4 linked regions of the Anolis sagrei genome follow. The protein of the gene in region 1 purifies or fractionates together with the protein of each later gene. This does not show direct contact. Links are inferred from orthologs where the notes say so. Each region holds a gene or a part of one and is shown in the gene's direction. Other genes may lie near its edges.

Region 1 (7,917 bases):
CATCAGCTGACACAGTGGAGCTGCTCTCTCCTCTGTTTCATGCCTTTGAAGAAACTGAACAGAGAACAGATCCAGCCCAGATGAAATGGTACACCTGAATACTCTTTCTGGGTATAGCTCTGGAAAAAAACCTAAAACAGTCGTTCTCAACCTGTGGGTCCCCAGATGTTTTTGCCTTCAACTCCCAGAAATCCTAACAGCTGGTGAACTGGCTAGGATTTCTGGGGGTTGTAGGCCAAAACACCTGGGGATCCACAGGTTGAGAACCACTGCCCAAAAACTATGTGAATGCTTAAATCTTCTGAACTATAGTGGCCAAGCTACAATTATCTGTATGGGGTTCATACTGGTAGTGTGAGTGCAGACTTAAGGTTTCATAAGACAAAAATATACATGCAAATAGATTTGTTGGACTTTGAAGAGCAGGTGGAAACCACATCTAATTCAATAGCTTTGATTTGCTTAATCCTGGTAAAATTCATGTGTTCTTACTTCTAAAGGTGTATCATCTTAGGTTAGGTAAAGGTAAAGGTTTTCCCCTGACATTAACATAGGAATGTTGTCCAGTCGTGTCCAACTCTGGGGGTTGGTGCTCATCTCCATTTCTAAGCCAGAGTCAGTGTTGTCTGTAGACACCTCCAAGGTCATTTAGCCAAATTGACTGCATGGAGCACATTACCTTCCTGCCGGAGCAGTACCTATTGATCTACTCACATTTGCATGTTTTCGAATTGCTAGGTTGGCAGAAGCTAAGGCTGACAGCTTATACCACTCCCCGGAAGCTTATACCACTCCCCGGATTTGAACCTGTGACCTTTCGGTCAACAACTCTTTGATTTTGTTTGTTCTTTCTTTTCACAGTGGCAGATGACAGGGGCTTCCAGAGTGGATGCTTGCATTGTGCCTCCTTTGCTCAAGCAACCATCTCAGAAAGACAGGCATACCTAGAACCTCCCAGTCAACCCATTTCCAGTAATGAGACCTTCTCACTGGTATCTACTTCTCAAGTCTCTGGCCTAGAAAATATCTCAAGCTGGAATGAAGAGAAGGAGCCTTTCCGCAGCCTCCAGTGTCCTGGAAAATCAGCTTCCTCCGTGGTTCTAAGCAAAACTGGGTCTCAAGGATTCTGGAGACCCTGGTCTACCTGAGTCTTGTATATATTTTTGAAAGCCCATGACTGAAGGAAAAAATGTAAATAGTATCCTGCCAGGACTATAGTCTCTAATTTATTTGGTATTTGGAAAACAATGTTAGAGAAAGCATGTACGTCTTGTTCTTGTCTCATGTCTTAAGCACCATTACTTGTCTGCACACAAGTATGTTTTTCTGTGTTTCTTCATGTGTTGCTATTTTATACTGATTTTTATTGAAAACAAATAACATATTTGAACAGATAATAAATGTCTATTATAGGCTTACAATATAAGATATTTCTATATTATCTTTTCACATTCTTTACAGATTTATTCGTATTACATTTTGTATTTTTTCTCCCTCTCCTCCCACTACCCTTCCTTACCCTTCCCACCACTTTTCTCTCTATATCTTTATTTTTAACCACGAAAACAACCTTTTTAATCTTAGTACAATATCAGTGGCTTCCCCTTCTTCTACCCATTTCATATATGTTGCCCGTTTCTCTTTAATTTCTTCTGTTTTGTCCTCCCGTGAACCTTCTTGGGTTATACATGCAATAATATCTGATTGGACTTTCTCAAATAAATAGTTATTCCAATTTTCCATATTCCATTTTTTTCATTTCTCCATACCCAGGCTATTACCGCCTTTCCTGCTAAGACCATTGGTTTAAATAGGTCTTGGTTCTTCGCAGCAATGTTTTTATTCCCTGTAATTGCCATTAATATAAATTCCATATTGATTTGAATTGTTGTTTTGAAAAGTTTCCCCATTTAATGTTTTTCATATGTTTTACATTACAAAAATGAAGAAATTGTGTGTAAAGGATCATCTAGTAACTTGTAGTGTTTAAAACAGGTTGAGCATCCCATATCCACAATTCAAAAATTCTCTCAGAATCCACAATTATTCACATGGGTAACCGAGATAGCAACACCTTTGTTTTCTCAGTTGTTGTAGGTTTTTCGGGCTCTATGGCCATGTTCCAGAAGCATTCTCTCCTGACGTTTTGGCTGCATCTGTGGCAGGCATCCTCAGAGGTTGTGAAGTCTGTTGGAAACTAGGAAAATTGGGTTTATATATCTGTGGTGCTCTGCTATGGCTGACTTTTCTGGTTGCCATGGCAGAGCACCTGATGAACCAACCTGAACATAACATATAATTTGAGAACACAGAAATGCTGAAACACTCTAACAACCACCATGTCAGGCTCCACAGAGAAGCCATTGAAATCTACAAGCATGTGGACAATTTCAACAGAAAGGAGGAAACCATGAAAATGAACAAAATTTGGCTACCAGTATTAAAAAAAACTATAAAATTATAACATTAAATAAAGAACAATACTCAAACACAGGGGAACTCCAGACACGAAACAATCAGAGACAGCTAATCACTTCTCAACAAAGGACTCCCCCAGGCACTAACAATCCACACTTAAAAAACTGTCAGGTCATCAAATGCTAACCAAATGCTAGCTCCAACAAACAAGGGTTTTTTCTCCCACCCTAGACTTTCCACAGATATATAAACCCAATTTTCCTAGTTCCCAACAGATCTCACAACCTCTGAGGATGTCTGGCATACATGCAGGCGAAATGTCAGGAAAGAATGCATCTAGAACATGGCCATATAGCCCAAAAAACCTACAACAGCCCAGTGATTCTGGCCATGAAAGCCTTCAACAATACCTTTGTTTTCTAATGGTTCGACCTACAAAAACTTTTGTTTATGGCACAAGATGAAGAGGAACTGTTAGTTAATACCCTTTGGGTCCAATTGCTTAAGCAATTACATTTTAATAGTAGCATTGCCTAGCCCACACTTGCTTAGCTTGCATGCGAGAAGGTCATGGGGGACTTTGTCAGAGGCCTTACTGAAATCATGATATGCTGCCCCCACACCATTCCCTGCATCTACCAAGCTTGTAATTCTATCCAAAAAAAAAAAGATAACATTAGTATGGCACGACTTGTTTTTCCGAAATCCGTGTTGACATTTAGAAATCACAGCATTCCTTTCTAAGTGATTGCAGACTGTCTCCTTAATGATCTGCTCCAGAATCTTTCCTGGTATTAATGTCAGCCTGACTGGGTGGTAACTGTTTGGGTCATCCTTTTTCCCTTTGAAGAGAGGGACAACATTTGCTCTCCTCCAGTCTGCTGGGATGTCTCATGTTCTCCAAGGGCCCTTCCACACAGCCCTATATCCCAGAATATCAAGGTAGAAAATCCCACATTATCTGAGTGTGGACTCAGATAACCCGGTTCAAAGCAGATATTGTGGGATTTTCTGCCTTGATATTCTGGGATATAGGGCTGTGTGGAAGGGTCCTCAGATAACCCAGGGCCCTTCCACAAATCTATGTTGTTGTATATTCGTTCAGTTGCTTCCGACTCTTCGTGACCTCATGGACCAACCCACGCCAGAGCTTTCTGTTGGCTGTCACCACCTCCAGCTCTTCAGGGTCAATCCAGTCACTTCAAGGATGCCATCCATCCATCTTGCCCTTGGTCGGCCCCTCTTCCTATTTCCTTCCATTTTCCCCAGCATAATTGTCTTCTCCAAGCTTTCCTGTCTTCGCATTATGTGGCCAAAGTACTTCATCTTTGCCTCTAATATCCTTCCCTCCAATGAGCAGTCGGGCTTTATTTCCTGGAGGATGGACTGGTTAGATCTTCTCGCGGTTCAAGGCACTCTCAGCACTTTCCTCCAACACCACAGTTCAAAAGCATAAATCTTCATTCTGTCTTCCTTATGGTCCAGCTCTCACATCCGTAGGTGACTATGGGGAATACCATTGCTTTAACTATGCGGATCTTGCTTGCCATTGTGATGTCTCTACTCTTTGCTATTTTATCGAGATTGGTCATTGCTCTCCTCCCAAGAAGTAAATGTCTTCTGATTTCCTGGCTGCTGTCTGCATCTGCAGTCATCTTTGCACCTAGAAATACAAAGTCTGTCACAGCCTCCACGTTTTCTCCCTCTATTTGACAGTTATCAATCAGTCCGATTGCTATAATCTTGGTTTTTTTTTATGTTTAACTGCAACCCAGCTTTTGTGCTTTCTTCTTCCACCTTGATTAGAAGGCTTCTCAGCTCCTCCTCGCTTTCAGCCATCAACTATATATACCCAGATTATCAAGGCAGAATAATCCACATTATCTGCTTTGAACTGGGTATATACGTGTCAGGAGCAAATTGAGAAACATCAAGTTGCTTCTGGTGTGAGAGAATTGGTCGTCTGCAAGAGTGTTGCCCAGCGGATGCCAGGATGTTTTTGATGTTGTATCATCCTTGTGGGAGGCTTCTCTCATATCCCCACACGGGGAGCTGGAGCTGACAGAGGGAGCTCATCTGTACTCTCCCCAGATTTGAATCTGTGACCTGTCGGTCTTCAGTCCTGCTGGTACCCATTGCAACACTGGTGGCTCCTTGAACTGGGTTATCTGAGTCCACACTGCCATATAATCCAGGTCAGTGTGGATTTTATGCAGCTGTGTGGAAGGGCCCAATGTCTGCAAAGTCCCTTTTCTGAAATGTTTTTCAGAAATGTTTTCTTTAAGGTATGTATCCACTTTAATAATAATAATAATAATAATAATAACCCGATTGTACTAATCAGGGAAAGAAGAAAACGTTGGCCTTCCCCGCCTCCCTTTTGCCCAGCCAGGTCTTCAGGTTCAGTTCTGCTTACCACTCAGGAGCAAAGCCCAAACCGGGCGGAAGTGAGCCGAAGCCCCTTCCGGAAGTCGGCCTGATTGAGGGCGGAAATGACGTTAGGGCGGGAAGCGGGAGGAGTTTGGGCGCTTGGCCGAAACCCAAGATGGCGGCGGGGATGTACCTGGAGCACTACCTCGACAGTAAGCGCGGGAACGGAGCGGGAGGAGGGCCGAGGGCCAGGCGGCGGAGGAGCCCTGGAAGCCAAAGGCCGCCTCGGGAGGAGGAGGAAGAGGAGGGGGCGCGCCTCGTTCATCATTCACACGTTATGCGTGTTACCCACATGCGAGCCTGACCCAAAGGGCCCCTGAATGAAGCGCTGTGGCCAATTGACAGCCTTGGTCTGCCAGGACCCCTGCGTTACGCCCATGCCTACGTTTAAGGGCCCTTCCACACAGCCCCATCACCCAGAATATCAAGGCAGAACATCCCACAATATCTGCTTTGAACTGGGTTATCAGAGTCCACACTGCCAGATATTCCAGTTCAAAGAAGATAATGTGGAGTTTTATTCAGCTGTGTGGAAGAGACTTAGATAACTTAGGGCCCTTCCACACAGCCAAAATATCAAGGCGGAAAATCCCACAATATCTTCTTTGAACTGGGTTTCTTGAGTCCACACTGCCATATATTCCAGTTCAAAGCAGATGATGTGGGATTTTATTCAGCTTTGTGGAAGGGGCCTTAGGTAACTTAGGGTCCTTCCACACAGCCATGTCACCCAAAATATCTGCTTTGAACTGGGTTATCTGAGTCCACACTGCCAGATATTCCAATTCAAAACAGAAAACGTGGGGTTTTATTCGGCTATGTGGAGAGCGCCTCAGTTGTTAGGTTTTATTAAACCGTGCAATGTATTTAAGTGTACATTTCCAGCGAATAAAATTATAATGTTGCATCACACCCATTCTTTCCCTCCTATTATTTTCCCCTTCAAATCATCTTGTGGCCAAAAGAAGGACTTCAATGAGTAATTGCTTGATAATGAAATGAACATTATTTTAAATGGTTAAGCTTTTACAAAATTATTGCTTCTTCCACAGCTCCATACTTTTGTTTACTTCTAACTGAGAGATGACAGAACATTACAGCAGTATTAATAGTAGTAGTTTCATTTATTCCTTTGTCCAATTTGTCATCAATCCACTTCTTTCATCTTTGCACAAATCTACAATTTGTCAAAATATATGATCCTGTGCTGTTCTTTTCCATTTTTGGCTGAATAGCTTAAATTCAGATAAATTTGTGTTGTTGAAGGCTTTCATGGCCGGAATCACTGGGTTGCTGTGAATTTTCCAGGCTCTATGGCCATGTTCCAGAAGCATTCTCTCCTAATGTTTCACCCACCTCTATGGCAGGCATCCTTAGAGGTTCCAGGTCTGTTGGAAACTAGGCAAGTGGGGTTTATATATCTGTGGAATTTCCAGGGTGGGAAAAGAACCCTTGTCTGCTTGAGGCAAGTGTGAATGTTTCAAGTGGCCACCTTGATTAGCATTAGGCCCTGGTGGCAGAATGGGTTAAACCCTTGTGCCAGGAGGATTGCTGATTGAAAGGTCGATGGTTCGAATCCAGGGAGTGGGTTGAGCTCCTGGCTGTCAGCTCCAACTTCTCATCCAGGGACATGAGAGAAGCCTCTCACATCCGGGCATCCCCTGGGCAACGTCCTTGCAGACGGCCAATTCTCTCACACCAGAAGCAATTCGCAGTTTCTCAAGTTGCGCCTGACACAGAAAAAAAACTTACTTTAGATCTCACTTCCACAGACCACTGCGACCCCCACGAATAACAGACCTGGACCAAACTTGGCACACAGACTCCTCCCTCATGTCCCACTTTACACCCTGGTGTGGTTTGGGGTAGGATGAACCATGGATGATGGTAAAGAGTAAGATAAGTTAGTCCAGGTGAAGGTGACACAGAGAAAAGGGAAAGAGATATGGGTGAAAAAAAGCTTAAAATATTAAAATAATTTGAAACATGGTATTAGAACTATAAGTGCAGTATACTTTAGATGGGGAAAGTTTTAAACGAAATTAAGTGCTTCTTTATTATAACAGCTATCATTTTTGTGTTATCAAGCATATATAATGATTGTATCTTTGTTGACTTTACTTGTTGACCTTAATTATATATTGAGAAAACTCCGTACTACGATGTACTTTCTTGATGCAGATACAGTTTTAATATATTCTTCTTGATTATTTTGTTGGTTACTATATTTTAAATTTTGTCTTTTGAATTATTTATATATATATATATATATATATATGAATGAGAACATTGGCTGGATAGGCCTGTTCGTGTTCATTATATTTAGAAACAAAACACTAGTGTGTTGCCTTTTCAGTTGCATTTGAAAGGTGTGCATCAATGTCATATGCAGTGAGTGTACATCCAAATAACACAATGTAACACGATTTTTGTTCCTGGGTTCAGTCATTTCAGACATTTATTTAATTGTTTCTATCATTAAAACATTTAAACAGGGAATAACATTTTCTTACATAGTGTAATAGAAAATATGATTGAGGCAAGCATACATTTATAAGCTTGGTATCATTAAAACATGGGGAAAGGTTATTAAACTGCAAAAACCGATTTGGAGGGACATCCTGAAGCACATTTTGCTATTGTTTTTCATTGAATATCTCATTGAGTCTCAATTCAAACTAGTTTGTGGCAGCCACAAAAACAATGTTTCTGGAGTAGACAACTACTTTCAAAGTAAGTACCATACAATTAAACAGGGAATAACATTTTGTTACATAGTGTAACAAAATGTACATAGTGTTACATTTTCTTACATAGTGTAATAGAAAATGTGATTGAGGCAAGCATACATGTATAAGCTTGGTAGTCAGACATCCGAGAACTCTCTTGCAGAATATGTGTACAGTGAGAAAATCTGGGTTTGCCAACATTCATTGTGTGGAGTAGATCTTTGGTGCTTTTATCACTAAGCTTTTTGAATGTATATGGTCTTAACGTCCCAGTGGCTGTTCAGTCAATTCAGAATTGATGTTGGTCATTCTATAACAAAGTATGTGTGATGGTTCTGTA
Region 2 (7,572 bases), on another chromosome or scaffold:
TAATTACATGACTTTGCCTGTATAACCCAGGTAAAATACAACTCTCATTTACTTGTATGCAAAAACATCTCAATCATACAAATGTCTTGGTATATGAAGGAGTGTTGTCTGCTTCATAACTGAAAGGTGAGCACATGAGTGGGGCAATGAATCAAGGATGTGACAGGAGAGCAAGAAAAGTGAGAGGGCAACTATTATATGCTAGTTTTGCCTTCCAGGATCCTTAAGTCTGTGCTATTTCCAGTTGTAATAACAATTTTATGAAGTACTTGCAACAATTCTTGCACAACCCGTGGCCACTACATCCTAAAAATTGAAGGCTCCATATCTGGATGGATACACACACAACCCTACCATATTATGTTCTAGGATCACCATAAGTCAGAAACTATTTGAAGGGAAAAACCAACACCAGTGATAATGCCTTGTTGACATACAATATTAGCTAGATGTATCTAAAGACGGCCGACAGGGAGCTCTGGCGTGGGCTGGTCCATGAGGTCACGAAGAGTCGGAGACGACTGAATGAATGAACAACAACAACAACATCTAAAGATATATCTGGAGCCCCTGGTGGTGTAGCGGGTTAAACTGCTGAGCTACTAAATTTGTGATTCGAATCCGGGGAGCGGGGTTTGCTCCCGCTATCAGGCCCAACGTTTGCCAACCTAACAGTTCAAAAACATGCAAATGTGAGATCAGTAGGTACCGCTCCGGCAGGAAGGTAACGGCGTTCCATGCATTCATGCAGGCTACATGACCTTGGAGGCATCTACAGACAATGCCGACTCTTCAGGTTAGAAATGGAGATGAGCACCACCCCCCAGAGTTGGACACGACTAGACTTAGTGTCAAGGGGAAACCTTTACCTTTCTCTAAAGTTCATCAATGCTAATTAAAATGCAATTTAGGTGTATTTTCATACTTTAAACTTTTACATTTTCTTTTTCTTTCTTTATTTTGGAATGTATTTGAACAGTATTTTTGAAAGATCTTGATTAAAAAGAAATTGATATTGATAGAATGCTAAAACCACTGGAATGCGAACGTGACCATTTCACTGGGGGTCTAGGGGCTTTTAACTTTACCCAGAAGCACCAGTTAGCCTGGCTAAAATAAAGAACTGTGGAAGTTAATAAAGCTAAAACACCTGGAAGGCCACAGATTTTCAACACCTGAGATGCAAACTGATCAGATCATTATCTTGATACCCTTTGGCAGCTACTGTGATGAGTGCTTTCAAGTCATTTTTTTCATGCAGTTGTGCGATGTCAGTGGAACCAATTGGGTATGCTCAATGTAATTTCTTCCATTATTATGTTTATTTATATCCTGCTTTTTCTCTCCATAAGGACATTCAAAGCAGCTTGCATTAAAAAAAATAAATTTAAAATATACAAATATTAAAACAGTATTAAATATATTTAGTATTTAAAAGATTAAAGTAATCCAACTGGATTGATTGGAAACAGCCACCTAATATTTGTGTATATAGCATTGTAGTTGCATACCCACATTGTGCTTATGAGTCCCTGCGTTTTCTAAGTTGTGTTTGTCACCCTAAGTTCTTTGCAGATTGTTGCCATTGGACTGCCGAACTGATACACTACTGGCCATAAATGAACATCGGTACATACAAATCTTAAATGATATCCAGATGTCACCTTTAATGCTGCAAAGCAGGTGTTTATAAATATATCAGACAGTAAAATAAAAATTATAATAGGTCAAGAAATTGGTTAGTTTCGTAACTCATTAACAAAACTTAAACTGTGTTGTATTATTTTCACATCACCCCTCTCCTAAACCCATTTCAAGGTTATCACCATATGTTTTCTATCTATCCACACACATACATATGTACATATATACACACACACAATATCTGAGAATCTCCTACATCCCTCTGCTGCCTTTGATTTTATGATTTATGTTCTGATAGTGTTAGGCTAATGAAAGGCTTCTGCTCTTAGGGCACCCCATAACTGTCAGAAAGGGTTTTGAGATGACAGGTGCATCTCCAGTAAAGAATTACTGCAATCCAACACCACTTCAACTGCTATGCTTAGCCCTATGCAACTGAAGGGGTTGTAGTTATAGAAGGGCTTTAGCCTTCTCTGCCAAATAGTGCTGGTGTCTCACCAGACTCCAGGTCCCAGAATTCCACAGTTCCACCACCAATACCCAACACTTGAAAGGAAATCATACTTGGCCACAAGTGATAGCCTATGATGATGTCAATCTGCATTAATTCTACAGTGATGTCCCCTTAGCCCAGTGTTTCTCATCCTTTCTTCTGGCACTATCTCTCGTTTCAGTTTGAATTGTCCAATCATAGAGTTTTCATGGTAAAATTTATTTATTTATGACATTTATATGCTGCCCTTCTCACCCTGAAGGGGACTCAGAGCGGCTTACAAGTCATAAATAACCTTTAAAGTCCTAAAAGTTTCTGGCCCAGAGTACCTGTCCGAACGTATCTCCTGCCACGAACCATCACAAAGTTTAAGATCTTAAGGAGCGGCCCTGCTCTCCATCCCACTATCGCAAACACGGTTGATGGGGACGAGAGACAGGGCCTTCTCAGCAGTGGCCCCCTGCCTATGGAGCACCCTCCCTAGAGATATCAGATTGGCCACCTCCCTCTTGTCTTTTAGAAGGAAAATCAAGACCTGGTTATGGGACCAAGCATTTGAGCAATGAGCAGCAAGTGGAAGATCACAAACTTATGGCAATGCATTGACCCGGACCGGTTTTTGGATTTCCATTTTAATGGATGTGTCTTAATTAATTGTTTTATTTTTTAATATTTTGATTGTACTGTGGTTTTTATTATGCTTTTGTTAGGCTGCTCTGAGTCCTCCTTCGGGGGGGGGGGGGGGAAGGGCAGGGTATAAATATAGGAAATAAATAAATATGGACATACAACACACAATATTGGCATACAGAGGTGGCCCTAGGTAATTTTCAATAGTAAGCAAACAGTATTCTTCCCCCCGCCCCCCCAACCAATCACTGATATATACTTTCTGTTCGTCATGGGAGTTCTGTGTGCCATATTTGGTTCAGTTCTCTCATTGGTGGAGTTCAGAATGCTCTTTGATTGTAGGTGAACTATACATCCCAGTAACTACAACTCGCATATGTCAATGTCTATTTTCTCTCAAGAACGCCTCAAGAGCACACCTGGGCAAAATCAACTATACTGCAAATGCTTACTTTGTGTAATGGGTTGAGCCGCTCCTGTTAGCATAGTACTAATACATCATTCATAATATTAGTATTATATAATATTACATTGTTGCTGGAGGAGGGGCTCTGATGTCACAGAGGGAGTCTTCCCAGCTATATGTCAGTGGTTCTCAACCTGCGGGTGCCCAGATGTTTTGGCCTTCAACTCTCAGAAATCCTAACACCTGGCTGGGATTTCTGGGAGTTGTAGGCTGAAACACCTGGGCATCCACAGGCTGAGAACCACTGGATTAGTCTCACCATTTCTAATTTTAGTTCTTGTCTACTACCTCAGTTTCCCCCCCCCCCCACCTTATCTTACACAGGGGTCCTCAAAGTAAGGCCCGGGGGCCAGATGCGGCCCCCCAAGGTCATTTACCCGGCCTTCGCTCAGGGTCAACCTAAGTCTGAAATGACTTGAAAGCACACAACAATAACAACAGTCCTATCTCATCAGCCAAAAGTAGACTCACACTTCCCACTGAAATACTAATAATTTTATATTTGTTGAAATTGTTCATCATTTTAATTGTTGTATTTTTAAGTGTTTTTTGCACTACAAATAAGATATGTGCAGTGTGCATAGGAATTCATTCATTTTTTCTTTCAAATTATAATCCAGCCCTCCAACAGTTTGAGGGACTGTGGCCTGGTCCTCTGTTTAAAAAGTTTGTGGACCCCTGATCTTACATGTACATGGATAGGCAATATGTGGCAATGCGTAACTGCAGCTTTTCGTAATGACTGCTTTCTCAAGCAGACACGACAGCCCTCCACCCTGATCTCAAAGGAAGCCTACAATTACCCTTTCCCAAACTGGTAATTTGGTTTCACGACTGCGTTCCAGATGGAGAAGACTCGGGATCCAGTGCCTAGTTTCCGGGGGGGTAAATTTGCTGACATTGTGGGGCACATTGCTAAGAAAACGGGAGCGCAGTGCACTCCTTTGCCTCAGGATCCCAGGGTGGAATGGTGGACCCTTGAGTTCCATGGAACTCCGAACGCCCACGAGCGAGAACTATGAAACGTTCCTTTCACTCTCCCAGGAAGGCGATGTGGAAGGCGCTGTTTCCGAGCCGGTGTTTTGAAAGCCTTCAAATGGTAGCGTAAGACTCTCCTTTTTGTTTGTCCCAACTGTCTGAGAAAAAGTCGAGTCCCTCCTCCTCGGGCCAGAAGCAAACAAAACTCTCCGAACTTGACCGGCAGCTTATTACAGCCGGCGGGGAGGCGGGTCCGCGGAGAAGCGTCCCGGGCGGGGATTGGCTGGCGGGCGGGTTACGAAAGCGTGTGGGCGTGTCCTGTGGGGAGCCCGCGCTGGCGCCGCCCACAGAACGCGCGGAGGGAGTCCTGGCCAGGCGCTCGTGCTCGTCGCCGGGGCTGGGAGGTGCCTGCCTGCCTGCCTGCCTGCTGCTGCCGCCTCCGCTCCCGCCCCTCCCCCGCTCCCTCCCTCCCTGCTTCCCTCCCACCCCTCCCCCGCCGGCGCGAGCGCTGTGCTGAGGCCGCCGCATTGTTTGTGCCGAGGGGGGAGGAAGAGGAGGAGGAGGACGGGGAGGGAAGTGGCTCGGCCTCGGGAAGGAGCCTCCGCAGCCGGACTGCGGCCCTTCGCGACGCGCTCTGCCGAATGCGCGGACCCAGCAACCGCCACCTCCGCCGGGAGCGGTCTCTCTCGCCGCCGCCGCCTCCTCTCCCTCCCCGAACTCGGCAGTAGCAGCGCCGCCGCCGCCGCCATTAGTCTTCGCACGAAAGGAGGAGGAGGAGGGCCTGTCAGCCGCGTCGCTGCGGCTCCCTCAGGTGAGCACAGGAGGCTCGGAGGCGGCGAGAGCGCCGAGGCAGCTCTGGTGTTGGGCGGGCGCCATGTTTAGGCCCGCGTATTATTGTCCCGGGCGGGGAAGGCGAGGGCGAGAGGGAGGAAGAAGGAAGGGAAGGCAGGCAGGCCGCCCTCCTCCTCCTCCTGGCTGAGGGGAGAGCCAGCCAGCGAGCGAGCGGCTGGGCCTGGCGCGGAAGGAACCATTCTGCGGGGGGAGGGGTGCGCTGGGCCTGGGCAGGAACCATTGGTGTGCGTGGGCGGGGCCTGGCAGGGGGCGGGGTCAGGAGCCCTCCAGCAACTGGGGCTGTGTCGCGCGGGGCGGGGCCAGGCCCCTCTCCCCAGGGCGAGACCATTCTGCCAAAGGGGGGTGTTGGGAAGGGATCCCCGCAGTTTGGGCTGCTACTGTCCTTTTCACGTATTTTAACTTCAATGTCGTGCCCCCCCTTTCCCTTCATGTTTATTTCTCGACTTCTGGGTTATCTCAGCTCTCTTCCTGGATTCATTCCGGTCTGATGACGTCAGGGAGGGCGGGGTCATTTCTGGGTTGTTCACTTTCACTTTTTAAGTGGAATGAAACTTTCTTTCCCCTCCCCTCCTGCCCTTTAAGCTACTGTTTCACTTAGGTGTATGGCAGTGGTTGTCAGTGTTTTTGCCTACAACTCACAGAAATCCCAGTCAGTCTACCAGCTGTTAGGATTTCTGGGAGCTGAAGGTCAATTATTTTTTTTATTATTATTATTAACTTTATTTGTACCCCGCTAGCATGACTCGATGCAGCTTACAAAGGCCAAGGTCAAAACATCTGGGTTCCCACAGGTTGAGAACCACTGGTGTATGAAGAGTTTTTTTATTTACCAAACTTTTTTTAGGTTTCATTTTCTTGAGTTCCCTAATCCAGAGATTTCCAAGCATTTCATCTTGCTGGCACACTTTTGAGACATGCATGGTTTCATGACCCAGTGATTCTCCCTTACAATCTGCCCCACTCACTTAGGTCCTCTTGGAGGCAGTTCCTCCAACTAGCCAAAACCCGACTGGCAACCACCACCTAGAGGACCTTTTCATCTGCTGCTCCATGACTGTAGAATGACCTGCCCGTAGAGCTCTCAACAGGTGGATCAGCTGTCAGAATTTAAGATAAAAGTGAAGACCTATCTCTTCCGACAGGCCTATTCAGACAGTTTTAATAGTGAATTTTAATTTCCACTGTATGCCTTGGTTTTGTTTTGTACATTAACAAAATATATGGCAGCATGACGTGTCTCATGAAAACCTTTTATTTACTTTAAAAAAATAAATGATTTGTGAGATAATATACAATTACAACATTTCTGTTATTTCTTGTTCACACCAACGCACTGCAGCAGTGTGAACAAGAAATAACATTTCATTTCATTTTTGTAAGCCCCTGTTTATTAGTGGAATTTGCAAAGTACTTTCTTTGTTTGCTGTGAGAGAAATGAAGTAAGATGGTGACAAATGTATCTGACTCATGTTATATGCTCATGGGAAGCACAAAAGCTGTAGATCTTATTCTGTCAGAAGCCTGGCAACATTAGGCATCTCAGAAGGTGTGAAATCTTCGGGCCGATGCATAAAATTTACATTTTCAAGAAGCCTTGGATACATGGCTTGCACATCAGGAAAGATTTCATTCTCACTATTAGAGCAGGAACTCAACTCTTCAACCAGATTTTCATACAACTGTTATGTTAATTTTATGATAGAAGATGATACAGATGAAGCTACTTTTTTCAGTAATGATGCTGAATATGTGATTCATGGTAACATGCAATTCATGTTACCTTTTTTTGTATTACCTCTGTTACAACTGTTCTTATACATGTACTTACTTCTTCATTTGTCAAGCATTGTTTATTTGGGGCAGAAGATTTTGGAATGAATGAACAATTGCCAATTATGATGTCACTTCAGTTAATAATATGTATGACAGCCTGGCTTGTTTGAGGAAGTGTTGTTGTAAAATGAGGACAATAATGACTGTCCTTAGAAAGTTGTCATGGGAGCAGACTGTGACTAAAGCTGCAGTACCATGTTGCACACATCTGGAAATAAATCCCATTGAACTCAGTTCTGACATATGCCAGTGGTTGTCATCCTGTGGGTCCCCAGATGTTTTGACCTTCAACTCCCAGAAATCCTAACAGCTGGTAAATTGGCTTGGATTTCTGGGAGTTGTAGGCCAAACTACCTAAGGACCCACAGGTTGAGAACCCTTGCATTATGTTATAGGACACCTATCTTGTACTGTACTTAAGTTCTTCACTTTTAGTGTAGTTACTGATATATAAATGCATGTATGTTATACTTTTTATTTCTGATGTTACTATTTTAAAAAGTAGTGTCTAATTTCTAAGTTGGTTCTTTGAACTTGGTCAGAGAGCCAGTAAAACACCACTCTTGTCTAACCATATTGATTTATATGCAGATTCAAATAGAGACACTCTTCCATCTCTTCCATTTGAAACATAGAAACATAGAGTTGGAACAGACCACAAGGGCCATCCAGTCCA
Region 3 (7,138 bases), on another chromosome or scaffold:
GCTTGTTATGCTGCTTTTTTAACTGGATGGCTATGAATTGCGCATAGAGTATAACTCCCCTATATGTGACAGATACATTCCAATACATCCTTGTGGATATCTGAAGTCATGAATAATAGAAAAACCTGTATTTTAACTATACCATAATATTGCACAGGCCTCCAGTGGCACAGTGGGTTTAGACCACTGAGCTGCTGAACTTGCTGATCAAAAGGTCGCAGGGAGCGATGTGAGCTCCCACTGTTAGGCCCAGCTTCTGCCAACCTAGCAGTTCGAAAACATGTCAATGTGAGTAGATCGATAGGTACCGCTTCGGTAGGAGATAATGGCACCCCATGCAGTCATGCCAGCCACATAACCTTTGAGGTGTCTATGAACAGCGCCAGCCCTTTGGCTTAGAAAATGGAGATGAACACCAACCCCCAGAGTCGGACACAACTGGACTTAACGTCAGGGGAAAACCTTTACCTTTTCATAGAATTGCACTAGAGGACCTAGTGAGACAAAAATCCATTTTGTGGTGTGAATATTTTTTGGAGCAATAATGAGGTTCTCATGTCTGCAGTGGTTTTCATGTGCATTTTACTTATTTGCGTTTAAATAACTGCTTAAGGATATATCTGTATGGAGATAAAATGTGCTGAACTCAACTTGCATATTTATTAATTCTCAAGTCACATGGGCTTCTAGTTGAACTCTTATATTTTTAGCACAACTAAGTAGGACATCGTTCATTGTCAAGTCGATTTTAACTTATGGCAACACTATGAATAAGAGACCTCCAAGACACCCTGTAAGTAAGAACCCTTCTCAAGTCTTACAAGGGCAGTGGTTTCCTTGAACCAATCATTTTTAAACTCATTTTCACTTTTAGTGATAGATCCCGCTTGACTTGCTCTAAAGTCCACTCATTTGTTTTGTCTTAATTTAGAACTTAGTGTTGCTAAGACCAATCTCCTTGTCATGTGACTGACAAATACAGTCAGGTCTCCATATCCACAGATTTTGTATCCACAGATCCAGCCATCCATGGCTTGAATTTACTAAAAATATCCGAAAAGAAAATCTTTATTTTTCTGTTTTATATCAGTGACACCATTTTACTACATCATTGTATTTAAGGAGACTTGAGCATCTACAGATTTTGGTATCCATGGGGAATCCTGGAACCAAACACTAGCAGATACCAAGGGCCCATTGTATATAATTTCTGCATAACACCTACACCATATTTATAGCCCCTAGATCACTCCCTCTTCCCTCAAGTTCTTGCCAGTGGCTAGTACTTTGTGTACTTTTAGTAGTTTGAGTAAAGGTGGGCCTCAGACTCTATAGGAAAAATACCTTCCGACCAATCTTCTGCTTGAGCAACTACCTGTACACTATGCCCCGTCCCCTGTCATACTAACTGCTTTTTGGGAGTTCATTTTGAGTTTTGTTTGCAATAAGAGAGTTCCCCATAATTTTTCTTCCATTCAGAGTTACTGTACTTGCATATGTACACAATACCCCACAGGCATATTTTGTGGTGCATGACTGTGACCTATGCATCGATAAAATCTTTGCTTTGGTTAAGCGAACAAGCAGTTGGTCTTTGACCTAGCCAACTATCTGTGGAGGAATGCAGTTTATTTAAAAACAAAAAAAGGAGAAGCACACTTAACTAACCGCATTGTTAGGTTTTGGTTTCTATGATAGTAGCAGGCCTGGGATTTCTGGATAGTTGGGTTTCAAAACCAGTGGGAATATAACCTCACTTTCTGAGCCGTGCAATAAAACAGCAGCCAGGCTTATGTCTAAGAAAGCGAAGGTTACTAATTTCCTTTTTTCAGTCCCAAAGGTGCTACAAGATCTCTTTCTATCCTGTAAAACTCTGGCCCAGACCAACATGGCTAGATCTCTGAATTCAGAATGCTCCAGCTCAAACAAGAGATTCATCTACATCAGTGTTTCTCAATCTATGGGTCTCCAGATGTTTTAGCCTTCAACTCCCAGAAATCCCAACAACTGGCTAGGATTTCTGGGAGTTGAAGGCCAAAACACCTGGGGACCTACAGGTTGAAAACCACTGATCTACATTGTAGAATCATTGCAGTTTGAGCCCACTTAAACTGCTGTGGCTCAATGCTGTGGCATCCTGGGATTTGTAGTTTGGTGTGGCACTATCACTCTGGCAGAGAAGGCTGAAGGTGTTGTAAAACTACAAAGACCCTGATTCCATTGCATTGAAGGTGGCAAAGACAATTACAGTGGTGTCAGACTGCATGACTTCCACATTGTGGATTCACCCAAGGTCTTCTTGAGGGTAAAACTCCCAACATATTATGCGGATCTATTGGTAAGGATAAAGGTTTCCCCTTGACATTAAGTCTAGTCATGTCCAACCCTGTGGGGTGGTGTTCATCTCCATTTCTACGCCGAAGAGCCGGCATTGTCCGCAGACACCTCCAAGGTCATGTGGCCAGAATGACTGCATGGAGTGCTGATACCTTCCTGCCTGAGTGGTACCTATTGATCTACTCAACAGTTTTCGAACTGTTAGGTTGGCAGAAACTGGGGCTAACAGCGGGAGCTCACCCCGCTAACCAGATTCGAACCACTATCCTTTTGGCCAGAAAGTTGAGCAGCTCAGCGGTTTAACCCAGTACACAACCAGGGGATCTATACAGTACAATGAACCACTTGGTACTGGCCTGGCACACTGCTATGAAATCATAGGAATATGGCTGTTTGTGGAAACAAGGATCCAGGGAAGTCATGCTTCCTCACTATTCTGCCTTGGTTAGACCACACCTGGAATATTGTGTCCAATTCTGGGCACCACAATTGAAGAGCAATATTGACAAGCTGGAATGTGTCCCGAGGAGGGCGACTAAAATGATCAAGGGTCTGGAGAACAAGCCCTATGATGAGTGGCTTAAAGAGCTGGGCATGTTTAGCCATGTATAAATATGTGCGAAGAAGTCTTAAGGAGGAGGGAACAAGCTTGTTTTCAACTGCCCTGGAGACTAGGATGTGGAACAATGGCTTCAAACTAAAGGAAAGGAGATTCCACCTGAACATTAACTTCCTGTGAGAGCGGTTCAGCAGTGGAACTTTCTGCCCCGGAGTGTGGTGGAGGTTCCTTCTTTAGAGGCTTTTAAACAGAGGCTGGATAGCTATCTGTTGGGGGTGCTTTGAAGGTGATTTCCCTGCTTCTTGGTAGGGGGTTGGACTGGATGGCCCATGAGGTCTCTTCCAACTCTGATTCTATGATATGGCATTCAGCAGTTGTTATCTGCTCACCCACAGAACACCATATTTAATAAGCCTTGGCACCATAAGAGGGTTTTGTGCGACCAGTCGCTCTTGTTGCAACAGAGTACTAACAGTAAGGGTTTTATTGTGTTGCTGTGGTTTTAAACTGTTTTTATGTTTTAATTTGTATTTTGATATTATGTATACTGATTAGTGGTAAATTGCCTTGAGTCGCTGATAGACTAAGAAGGGCGGTATAGAAATACAGTAAGTAAATAAATAAGGCCGCAGACCATAGTTTAGTTCTTGCTGACCTCTGTTGGTCCATGGAGCACAGATTGGGAACCACTGTGTAGATCAGGCATGGCCAAATGTGGGCCCTCTGGGTGTTTGGGACTTGAACTCCCAGAATTCCTAACATATGCTTTGGATAGCATAGGAAAAGGCGAATACCCCATGTGGGGTATGGTTTGCTGGCTGTGCCCCTGTCCAGAAGATTCCACCTCACTTTCTGTCCCTGTGGAGATTGGATTTTGAGAAATGTGGCTGGTTGTGGGAAGCAGGAGTGGAGAGGGCGCTTCAGCAGAGGGCAACGGAGGCCTCGGAGGGGATCCTTCGATCCTTCCTTCCTTCCTTCCTTCCTTCCTTCCTCCCTCCCTCCCTCCCTCCCTCCTTCCCCTCCCTTCCCTTCCCCTCCCCTCCCCTCCCTTCCCTTCCCTTCCCTTCCCTTCCCTTCCCTTCCCTTCCCTTCCCTTCCCTTCCCTCCTTTCCTTCCCTCCCTCCCCTGCGTGCCTGCTCTTAAGGAGGCCCCGGTGGGCGACAGCGGGCCAAGGCGAGGCGGGGGCAAGCAGCAGGTGCCAAAGCCGGGCGAAAGGGAAGCGCCAACAGGGAGGGAGAGAGAGAGAGAGAAGGGAAGGAAGGGGAAGAGGAGGAGCCTCCGAGGCGAAGGCGGCAGGAGCAGCGCTAGCAGCAGCAGCACCAGAAGCGGCGGCAATAGTACAATAGGGCTCTTGTGCGCTGCCGGCCTCCTCCTCGGCCTCCCCCTCCTCGGCGGTGGCGGCACGAGCGTGAGCCCGCCGGGCTGGTAGCGGGGGAGACGGACCGGCCGCCCCTCCAGCCCGGAGCCACAAGGTAAGCGAACGCCTCGCGTCCTGGGGGAGAGCCAGGGCTGTGGCCAGGCCCGCCAGCCGAGGCCCAGCCGAAAAGGCGAGAGCGGGCGGCTTTGTGGCTGAAGGGAGCGCCCCAGCGGCCTATCCTATCCCCAGGAACTGTTTTCCCGGGTGACTGATTTAGACTCCATCTCCCAGAATCCCTCACCATCGGGTAAGGCAGCCGAGGCTTCTGGGAGTTGGAGTCCAAAACACCTGGCGAGTGCCTAGGCCCTGCTCTGGTCCGAGTTGCCAGCCCCGCGACCGCGCGCCGGGCTCTTCTGCGCATGCGCCGAGGTCCCGAAGGTGGCCGGACGGGCGGAAAGCGGGCCTGGGAGCGAGGCGGGGGCGGGGCCTGCGCCGCCCGTCCTGGGCTGCCGTTGGCCGCCGGGAGCCACGTGACGGGGTGCCCCCCTCCAGCCATGTGGCTTCTCCTGGACTGGGAGCCCCCGTTGGCCTGCCTTTCTTCCCGCTTGGCGGCCGGGTGAGCGCGAGGAGGGGTCAAGGCCTTTGTTCTTCAAAGTTTCCCTCCCGTTTCCTTTATTTCAAGGGCCCCGCTCCCTTGGGTGACTTAAGCTTTGGATGAACCTGTGTTGTTGTCCCAATAAGACCACAGTCGCCTTCATACACAGAGGTGGAGTGTTTATTATTATACATATCTAGGCATTTTTGGAAAGAGGAACTGGAGTGTTGTCGAAGGCTTTCATGGCCGGAATCACTGGGTTGCTGTAAGTTTTCTGGGCTGTGGGGCCATGTTCCAGAAGCATTCTCTCCTGACATCTTTGGCAGGCAGCCTCAGAGGTTGTGAGCTCTGTTGGAAACTAGGCAAGTGAGGTTTATATATCTGGAATGTCCAAAGTGGGAGAAAGAACTCTTGTCTGCTTGAGGCAAGTGTGAATGTTGCAATTGGCCACCTTGATTAGCATTGAATGGCTTTGCAGCTTCAAAGCCGGGCTGGTTGCTGCCTGGGGGTTGATTCCAGACAAGATTCAATCAGGGCCAGCTAACACCTCCCAACAAAGGGTCCCCAGGCAGCAACCGGCCAGGCCTTGAAGCTGCAAGGCTATTCAGTGCTAATCAAGGTAATCAATTGCAGCATTCACACTTGCCTCAAACAGATAATAGTTCAGTGAAAACTCACAGCGACCAAGAAACTGGAGTGTCATTCAGGGTGATCTTCCAGGGGATGCTGGACTGTGGCTCCACCTGGAAGTAAGGGGCAAAAATACTTGGATGAGGTGTTTTACATACCCTACATGCTCATGTATAAGGCCAAACATTTTAATCAGAAAAACAATACCAAAATGACTTATCCATGGGTCAATGTGAGTACAGTATTGTACTTTAACCCATCTCAAAAGAAAGGAGCCGTCCCTTTCTTAAAGAAGAAAGGTCCATTCTGTGAGAAACTTAAGGCTTCTTCTACACTACCATATAAAATCCAGATTATCTGCTTTGAACTGAATTATATGGCAGTGAAGATTCATATAATCATGTGGATTATCTGCTTTGATAATCTTGCAGGGTTGAAAGGGCCTAAAAGAAACACTAGCACTTTCAGCAATCTCTGCTGTGGCACCATTTCTGGCCCTCTTGGATGGAGAAATCAATTTATTTGCCCTGTACACTCAAGTATAAGTCTAGAAATTTTGGTAAAAAAACAACAACCCCCAGAACCCCCCTCGGGGGTTGAGAAGGGCGGGGTAGAAGTGACCTAAATAAATAAATAAATAAATAAATAAATAAACCTGGACCAGCTTCTCCATGGGTCAGTATAAGTACTGTGCTGTAACTCTTATCAAAAAAGGAACCATTCCCTCCTCTATGTAAAGCAGTGTGAAGTGAGATGAGTCCATCCTGGGATAACCTCAAAGAAGCACCGACCCTCTTTACGTTCTTCTGTCCTTTTTGGGTGCTTGGCTGGGGGCGGCAGGCCCTCTTAGGTGGCATTGGCACTTGCCCCTCTCTGTGGAATGACCCTCAACTTACCCACAGGTCAATGTAAGTACTGTGCCTTAACTTGCTGAAACAAACCACCTCATTCTCTGAGCAGAGGGCCAAAAGGCAAGAGCTGAGTCAGTCCTGGAAGAACCTAAAAGACAGTTCTGAGCAGAGGAATGGCGATGGGCAGCTGGGCCCCTGAGTCAGCACTGGGTCTTTCTCCCTTCACAGAATGAGTATCAATTTATCCATGAGTCATATTGCCCCCAGTATCGCAATGGGTGAGTACTGCTCACTGAAAGGTCAGCGGTTTGAATCCGGGGAGTGGGGTGAGCTCCCGTCTGTCAACTCCAGATTCTCATGCAGGGACATGAGAGAAGTCTCCCACAGGATAGTAAAACATTTGGGCGTCCCTTAGGCAATGTCCTCGCAGATGGGCAATTCTCTCACACCGGAAGAGACTTGCCGTTTCTCAACCAGAATTTTGGTCCCCAAACCAGCTCTCAATTGATACATGAGGTCAACTTATACATGAGTACAATTGACAGAAAGACTAGTGTCCTCAGTACCAGTAGAGCATAGTGAAAGATGGGTTATATTCCAGTATCTGGAGAGCTGTACCTTTTTTCTTCTTCTGTGTGGACACATATATAGGATACCAGCACTTAGCACACAGAGGCCTGCTTTCAGACTACTATCCTGTGCCTTTTTGTCAGGGATTAGGCCACACTGAACATTGCGGAACTTGGTCCAAGCAAGCACACATAGTGAAGGCAACCGTTTCTTATTGACAAATACTAACAGATTTATTT
Region 4 (7,610 bases), on another chromosome or scaffold:
GGACAAATTGACACCAAATTTGGACACAAGACAATTAACAACCCAATGTATGTCCTTCACTCAAAAAAACATATGATTTTGCCATTTGGGAGTTGTAGTTGCTGGGATTTATAGTTCACCTACAATCACAGAGCATTCTGAACCCCACAACAATAGAATTGAACCAAACTTGGCACACAATTCTCCCATGACCAAAAGAAAATACTGGAAGGATTTGGTGGCAGTGTCCTTTGGTTTTGGAGTTGTAGTTCACCTACATCCAAAGATCACCGTGGACTCAAACAATGATGGATCTGGACCAAGCTGTACAAGAATACTCAATATGCCAAAATGTGAACACTGGTGGAGTTTGGGGGAAATAGAATCTTGACATTTGGGAGTTGTAGTTGCTGGGATTTATAGTTCACCTACAGTGAAAGAGCATTCTGAACCCCACCGATAGAATTGGGCCTAATCTCCCACACAGAACCCCCATGTGGGCCACAGCAACATAAATAATAATAATAATAATAATAATAATAGAGAAATGTATATAGCTACAACCCAGTTTGCCCAAACCAAAAATGGATGCTCCTATTATGAGGAACAGAGGCTGGTTCCCAAAACAAAGATGGCGGATTCAGCACCGCTCTGAATTCAAACTCCCGATGCAACTGTGGTCAGTTTAGACTTTTGGGTAAGAACCAAGCTCTGCCCGGCTCAAAGATGGCCGCCCCTGTTCTTTCGACCCGAGGCCCTGCCCGGCTCAAAAATGGCCGCCGCTCCACGCGCGGAAGACGTCATTCCCCATTCCAAGATGGCGGGCGGCCGTCGGCGTGAGGTGAGGTTTGTCTGCGTCACGTGACGGGCAGGACGGGGGTGTGTATCTCCCCGCCGAGTGTCCCGGCGGAAGAGTGGAGGGAGTCGGCTGAAAGGTCGCCGCTGGGGGGAATCAGGCACCAGAGGGCGGCGCGGCCTGGCGCTGGGGGACCGGAGGCACGCCAGTCACGACGGACACCGCCGGAGCCAACGCGGCGGCCGGGGCGCAGCCACCCTCGCTGCCTCCGCCGCCGCCTCCGCCCAGGATGTCTCGCCGAAAGGTAAGCGGCGCCAGAAGGAGCCAAGCCCCTCCGCTCGCCTTCTCCTTCGCCCGCTTAGACCGCCAGGCTCGAAAACCAGTTAAAAACGTAGGCCTTCAAGCCCCTGCTTCAGCTCGCGGCGTGATTGGCTCCCTCTGCCTCCCGCCGCCACTTGAATGGCCGCCCTCGCCATCAGTTAGGGCAAGCCCCGCCTTCGACGGTTATTTGTTTCCCTCCTCCCTTTGGGTGGTTGTTGTGTCCCGCCTCCTTCCCGCCCTGATAGGCTCCGTTGCCGTCCTCTCATTGGTTGGCCTCCCTATCACTTCCTACTGGCGCGGTTTTCTTCTCCCCGCCTCCTTCCTCGCTTCAGACTTGGCTGTATGTGTTGAGGAAAGGCGCTGATTGGCTGCTCTGAATTAGCCTTCCCTTGCTCCTCATTGGATGGCAGGCAGCCGAACGCCCACCTCCTTGATGTTGTGATTGGCGGAGGAAGAAAATGCCTGAGATGGTTCAAAACAGAGCAAGCAAGATGGCCCAGGCAGGGTTGCAGAACAGGAATCAGTTTTGATTAAATATGGTTATACTCTTACATTTTTTTCTCATCATGGAACCATTTTAACTGCAGGATAAACCTGCAAAGGTATCATTTCCTTTTGATCAATCTAGTTAAGGCCTCTTCTACACAAACTCCACATTGAACTGGATTATATGGCAGTGTGGACTTGGGCCCTTCCAGACAGGCCCAGGATCCCAGCATCTGATCCCAGGTTTTATGTTTATCCCAGATTATCAGGCAGTGCGGACTCATATAGTCCAGTTTAAAGCAGAAAACCTGGGTTCAGATCCTGGGATACAGGGCCTGTCTGGAAGGGCGCTTCCACACAGCCATATAACCAAGACTATCAAGGCAGAAAATCTCACAATATCTGTTGTGAACTGTGTTCTGCCATATATTTCAGTTCAAAGCCAATATTGTGCGATTTTCTGCCTTGATATTCTAGGTTATATGGTTGTGTGGAAGGACCCTTAGATAACCCAGTCCAATGCCAATATTGTGGATTATCTGCCATGATATTCTGGGTTTTAATTATTTATTTATTTCTATCCCGCCTTTCTCCCAATTGGTACTCAAAGTGGCAAACAAACATGTAATGAAAAACATTGCAGAGCATAAAATTATGCATAATCATCACACCACAAACATATCTAATAAGAGGTTGTTGTAGGTTTTTCAGGCTATATGGCCATGTTCTAGAAGCATTCTTTCCTGACGTTTCGCCTGCATCTGTGGCAGGCATCCTCAGAGGATCCCTGCTATAGATGCAGGCAAAACGTCAGGAGAGAATGCTTCTAGAACATCGTCCTGTAGCCCGAAAAATCTACAACAACCCAGTGATTCCAGCCATGAAAGCCTTTGACAATACATATCTAATAAATTATAAAACTGGTGATGACATAATAAATAGATAACACAATTTAAACATTCAATAAAGTTAAAAGATTACACGGCTGTGGGAAAGAGCCCTTAGAGATTTCCATTTCAAGTGGTTAGATTCATTTTAGTTTCATACATAGTTTCATACAGCAAAAGATCCTCTGATACATTGAAACTGATATAATTTTGTTAACTTGTTATTGTGTCATTTCCACTCCAAGGTGACTCCAGTACAGGGGCTTTTTGGCGAAATTTGTCCAGGTGTGATTAGCCATTGCCTTCCCTTGAGACTGAGAGAAATTTAAGATGGATTTTAATATAAAACCACACAAGGCATATTTCCCAGACATCAGCTGAGACATTGAGTGCACGAAAGACTCATTTGTCAATTGGAATAAACATCACATGTTGTCTGTGCCAGCGTATGAAGATCTTATTGAAATTCATTGTCGCTATAGGTGATCCCTCGTGGCCAGGTATGGTCTTGGTGGTGGGCCTGTTAGTGACTAGAGACCTATTCTAGATCCACATGGGCTTTCGAGGAGACATATTTCCAAATGGAAAGCAGTCCCGACAAGGTTTTGCATGACACACCTTCCCTTTGACTCCTTTTTTCCTTTCGTCCTCTATTCATGCTTCTTTGAAAGCTACAGCACTGTTGGTAAGCTGACATCCAGTGAGAGCACTCAAGTGCCATGGAGTGTTTATTCCACGTATTTTAAAGATTAGCTTTAAGCCCATCTTTAAATCTCTTTTGCTGTCAATCAACATTCCCTTTTCCATTGTTGAGCTGAGAGTAAAGTAACTGCTTTGGGAGATGGTGATCAGACATTTGGACAACACAGCTGCTTCAGCGAAGTTGATGGTGTAGGATCATCTCTTCCGTACTGATGGTCTTTGTTTCCAGAATGCTGACATTTGTCCACCTGTCCAAAGACATTTTTGAAGGCAACGCTGATGGAATTGTGCTAGAAGTTGAGAGTAACATTTGTAGACATTCCATGTATCACATGTGTACAACAGAGTTGGAAGTATAAAGGCTTTATAAACAAGCATCTTGGTATCCTTATGAATGCCCTTATCCTCAACAGGGCTTCATTTGAAAAAATGCTGCACTCACAAAGCTCGAATGGTGTATTTTGGCATCAATGTCAACTTTTGTGGAGAGATGGCTAAATTCAGTGTACCTCAGCTTTTTGAATCTGTACCACTGAATGACTTTTGGGTAGGACTAGTAGCCAGAAAGACCATCCAAGCTCTGCTCCCCTTTGTGTCCACCTGTCGATGTGAATTAGGTTTTCCAGTGTATATTTACATCAAAAACAAATACAGAAGTAAGTTGGATTCCACCCCAGATCTTCAAATTTATCTGTTGGACATAAAGACCAGTTTCAGAACTATTCTTAGTACAAAAATTAAACACTCTAATTCATGAAATAATCCAATATTTTCTTGGTTGAAATAAAGGTTTGTGGTTATATTTAAAGTATTTCCAAAGTAAAGTATTTAAAGTATTTTGGTATTATCCAAAAAACTTTGTGGGTTCACAAGCTAAAAATCAAGGATAGAATTAGGGTACCATGGAGGGTGGGGATAGGAATGCCTTCTGAATGGTTCCATGGCAGAAGATGTTTGGAAACTTCTGCTGTAATCCAAAACTGCCAGATATTCTTTTGGAGATTATAATTTCAGACTCCTAGTTCATATACATAGCTCCTACTGGAATAAATAGAATAATTTTCTTAACTAGCTTGATTGAGCGGTAGTATTTGTTTTTCAATTATAAAGTGATGAATCAAGAGTCACAGCACATTTGTACTCTGCTGCTATGTATTGAGTATACAGACATCGTTGGAAAATATTCTAAACATTTGTATCTTTCAGTTCTTCAAGTGCATCTTTTAAGTATGTACGAGGGTTGAATGAAATGTAATGCCTCTACCTTCGTAACTCCTCAACAGATGGCAGGTACTGGCTTGTTCAGTAGACTCTCCTCTACAGTTCCGTTTTGGTGGGAAGCCTTAGCATTGAACGGTTGTGTTGTTAATGTGCGAAGTATGGAACCCTGCGAAGATGGTTGATCAATGCAACTTAAGCAACATGCAGTTATTGAATTCTTGACAACAGAAGGTGTCACCCCAAAGGAGATTCATCAGAGAATGCAAGCTGTCTATGGTGATTGTGTTGATGTGAGTACTGTGCGTCATTGGGCGAGTAAGTTTAAAGATGTTGAGGTGGGAACATCTGGCTTGCGTGATAAACAAAGAGTTGGACATCCTGTGACAGCAACCACCGAGTTTCACAAGCAAAAGGTTGACAGATTGATTCAGGACGATTGTCATATCACTCAGAGAGAAATTTCAAGCATCATCAGCATTTCACGAGAACATGTGTGTCACATTATTGCTTTGCTTGGCTATCAGAAGATCTGTGCACGATGGGTACCCAGGTTGAGAGAACTGTGAGACGCTGGTTGCGGAAACAGAGAGTTGACGTCTTCTGTGATGGCTTCAGAAAACTTGTTTATCGTTGGCAGAAGTGTATCCAATTGTCTGGTGATTATGTGGAAAAGTGAATAGTGGTAGTTAAAGAGCACATTCTAAGGATTATTTCTGCGTTCGATTTATTAAAATATTCCCTTCCAAACCCAAGTAACAAAGCTGGAGGCATTACTTTTCATTCAATCCTCATATTTATCTTACTAATGATTTGCTTTTACATGTGCTGAGGCTTGTCAAATCTATATCTGCTTAGTGTTAACATTGCTGCAAGAGTAAATTCTCCCAGACTACTCCTCTTTAACTCTTTGGAGTCCCCTTAGCGTTCTCTTCCTTCCCTGGCACCTGTTACCCAATTTGTGTCACGACACAAAACACAATTGTAAACGTTATCTAATTGAATAATTTAAGATGCTTATGATCACAGTTCTTCTTCAGGTGCATCAACACTGTAGAATTGATGCAGATTGGTACCACTTTTAACTGTCATGGCTCAATTCTATGGAATTGTGGGAGTTGTCGTTTTTATAAGGAAAATCAAGACCTGTTTATGGGACCAAGCATTTGATCAGTGAGCAGCAAGTGGAAGAAGATCACACAACTTATGGCAATGAATTGACCTGGACTGGTTTTTAAATTTCGATTTTAATGGATGTGTCTTAATTAATTGTTTTGATTGTTGTTTTGATTTTTAATATTTTGATTGTATTGTGGTTGTTTTTATGATGCTAGCATCATATGATGCTTTTGTTAGGCCACCCTGAGTCCTCTTTCGGGGAGAAAAGGGCGGGGTATAAACATAGGAAAAAAATAAATATAATAAATAAATAGTCTAGTCTTGTCTGCCAAAGAGTATTAGTGCTCCAGCAAACTACAAATTCTATGATTCTGTAGCATTGGGCCATGGCAGTTAAAGTGGTGTCAAACACATTAATTCTACAGTGTTTCCTATATTGATTATTAAATCAACAGTGACAACTGTCCCCAAAGAAGTTGTTTCAGGTTTCTGAACCTGAACCGCTGTGAGTCGCCTTCGGGTTTGAGATACAGCAGTATATAAGCAAAGTAAATAAATAATAAATAAAATAAACTAGACTGCATGACATATAGGTTAAGCTGTTTGCTGTGTGTCTGTGAAGACCATTTTAAATGCTAGCTGTATTTGAACTTGAGTGGCGAAGGGACCACTGTGATGATCACATGGCTGTCATTGTGTTAATCCTACCTCAAATCCCACATTTGCTCTTAACGTATTATTGCTCCCAGGATTCCCACTGGAACCACTTCCTCTGTGTTTGAAAATAAGGCTGGGTTGTTTTTGCACGTACACTCTGAGACCTGACCAACAATAAAGAAAAACGTTACAGCTTTTGCACAGAGGCATATCAAACAACACAAAATATTAGAATGCCATAAAGCTCAATAAGAGTTTTACCCACATATCGCTTTACCCACATAGAGGACATTAAATCAGCAACAACGACAAGTGACACTATGTTCAGACGCGTCTTTGTATGTACCTTTTCATAATCAAAATCTGTAATAATCTGTAATAATGTATCAGTGAAATAGAATGGGAAGATTGGGGGTGATTCATTCACTAAGAATAGATGATCTTATGGCACTTAATTATCCCACATGTATTCAAATAGTCACATCTTGCAGTTGTTGTTTAATTGAGAGTTTAGCATTGGTAAAACCAAGACTTCTTATACATGACTAAGAAAACCCTAGAATAGCCACTAAACAATACAAAACTTTTCTGTGAGGTAAGTGGCACCTCACTGGTGCAATCAGCATATATACATATGCATATATGAGAGAGAGAGAGGACGACACTTTTTACCTCCAGGGCACAAACATATGTGACTGCAGTTTCCCTTTATTTTAATATACCATTAATCTGTTAACTGTACAGCACTGTCTACCCTCACACACTCTTTTGTTGTCTTTTTGGAACTTGATTCTTTTTTCTCTCTGACTTCTGAATCCTGACCCTGTTGTTCTCTTTTCCTTGCACATCATTCTAACAACACCTCCTACTCACACTCTGTTAGCTTTTCATCATCCATATACAAATGACACTCCACATTCTTGATTTAGTCTTCAGGCATATACTTTGAATCATACTTATCATCTAATATCACAATATGTGTGCAGTGGATTATTGAAAATTGCATTATAATCTATGTAACGTTAGCAAGGTCTCAACCCTGTTTGTGTGGGTGGCTATGAAACAGGCTAATGCTTAGAAATGTTGTCTTCCTAAGAAACAGTGTTGCGCATAGTTCCTTGCATAGAGAGCTGATGATCATTTGGTGCAACATGATGAAACAACTTTCTGGATTGTTTGGATTTACCAGTAAGTTCTCAGAACTCCAGTCACCATGATCAGTGTAGGAATTGTGAGGACTAAAACTGAAAACAGCAAGAGTTTGTCAGTGGTTTCTGATTGACTATATGAAAAAATAAGTTTAAGACCATTGCCTTGAGATCTGACTTCCAATTCACATCAGACTGATGGTGGAGGATTATGGGAGTCTTTAAATACCTGCAAACCTTAGTTACTTCCCTGTGCATTGAGGCATGGAGATATCTTCCTTATAAGCGTTGACTTGG

Evidence for each region.
Region 2: the proteins of ING4 (region 1) and BRD1 purify together in Homo sapiens (affinity purification with mass spectrometry; 5 studies listed by BioGRID and IntAct, with this or other methods). This does not show direct contact. The link is inferred for Anolis sagrei from reciprocal best matches to the Homo sapiens genes ING4 and BRD1.
Region 3: the proteins of ING4 (region 1) and JADE3 purify together in Homo sapiens (affinity purification with mass spectrometry; 3 studies listed by BioGRID and IntAct, with this or other methods). This does not show direct contact. The link is inferred for Anolis sagrei from reciprocal best matches to the Homo sapiens genes ING4 and JADE3.
Region 4: the proteins of ING4 (region 1) and KAT7 purify together in Homo sapiens (affinity purification with western blotting; 6 studies listed by BioGRID and IntAct, with this or other methods). This does not show direct contact. The link is inferred for Anolis sagrei from reciprocal best matches to the Homo sapiens genes ING4 and KAT7.

What each region holds. Positions count from the first base shown.
Region 1 is NC_090022.1:197,488,130-197,496,046, reverse strand, and holds the start of ING4 (inhibitor of growth protein 4), read left to right. Parts: upstream 1-4,911; 5' UTR 4,912-4,963; coding exon 4,964-5,000; intron 5,001-7,917. Other genes in the region: transcription factor HES-2-like, read left to right, coding at 862-1,148.
Region 2 is NC_090025.1:122,939,555-122,947,126, reverse strand, and holds the start of BRD1 (bromodomain-containing protein 1), read left to right. Parts: upstream 1-4,565; 5' UTR 4,566-5,022; intron 5,023-7,572. UniProt on the Homo sapiens protein: Scaffold subunit of various histone acetyltransferase (HAT) complexes, such as the MOZ/MORF and HBO1 complexes, that acts as a regulator of hematopoiesis.
Region 3 is NC_090023.1:99,696,408-99,703,545, reverse strand, and holds the start of JADE3 (protein Jade-3), read left to right. Parts: upstream 1-4,131; 5' UTR 4,132-4,368; intron 4,369-4,844; exon of another isoform or gene 4,845-4,869; intron 4,870-7,138. UniProt on the Homo sapiens protein: Scaffold subunit of some HBO1 complexes, which have a histone H4 acetyltransferase activity.
Region 4 is NC_090026.1:31,669,693-31,677,302, reverse strand, and holds the start of KAT7 (histone acetyltransferase KAT7), read left to right. Parts: upstream 1-4,603; 5' UTR 4,604-4,652; coding exon 4,653-4,682; intron 4,683-7,610. UniProt on the Homo sapiens protein: Catalytic subunit of histone acetyltransferase HBO1 complexes, which specifically mediate acetylation of histone H3 at 'Lys-14' (H3K14ac), thereby regulating various processes, such as gene transcription, protein ubiquitination, immune regulation, stem cell pluripotent and self-renewal maintenance and embryonic development.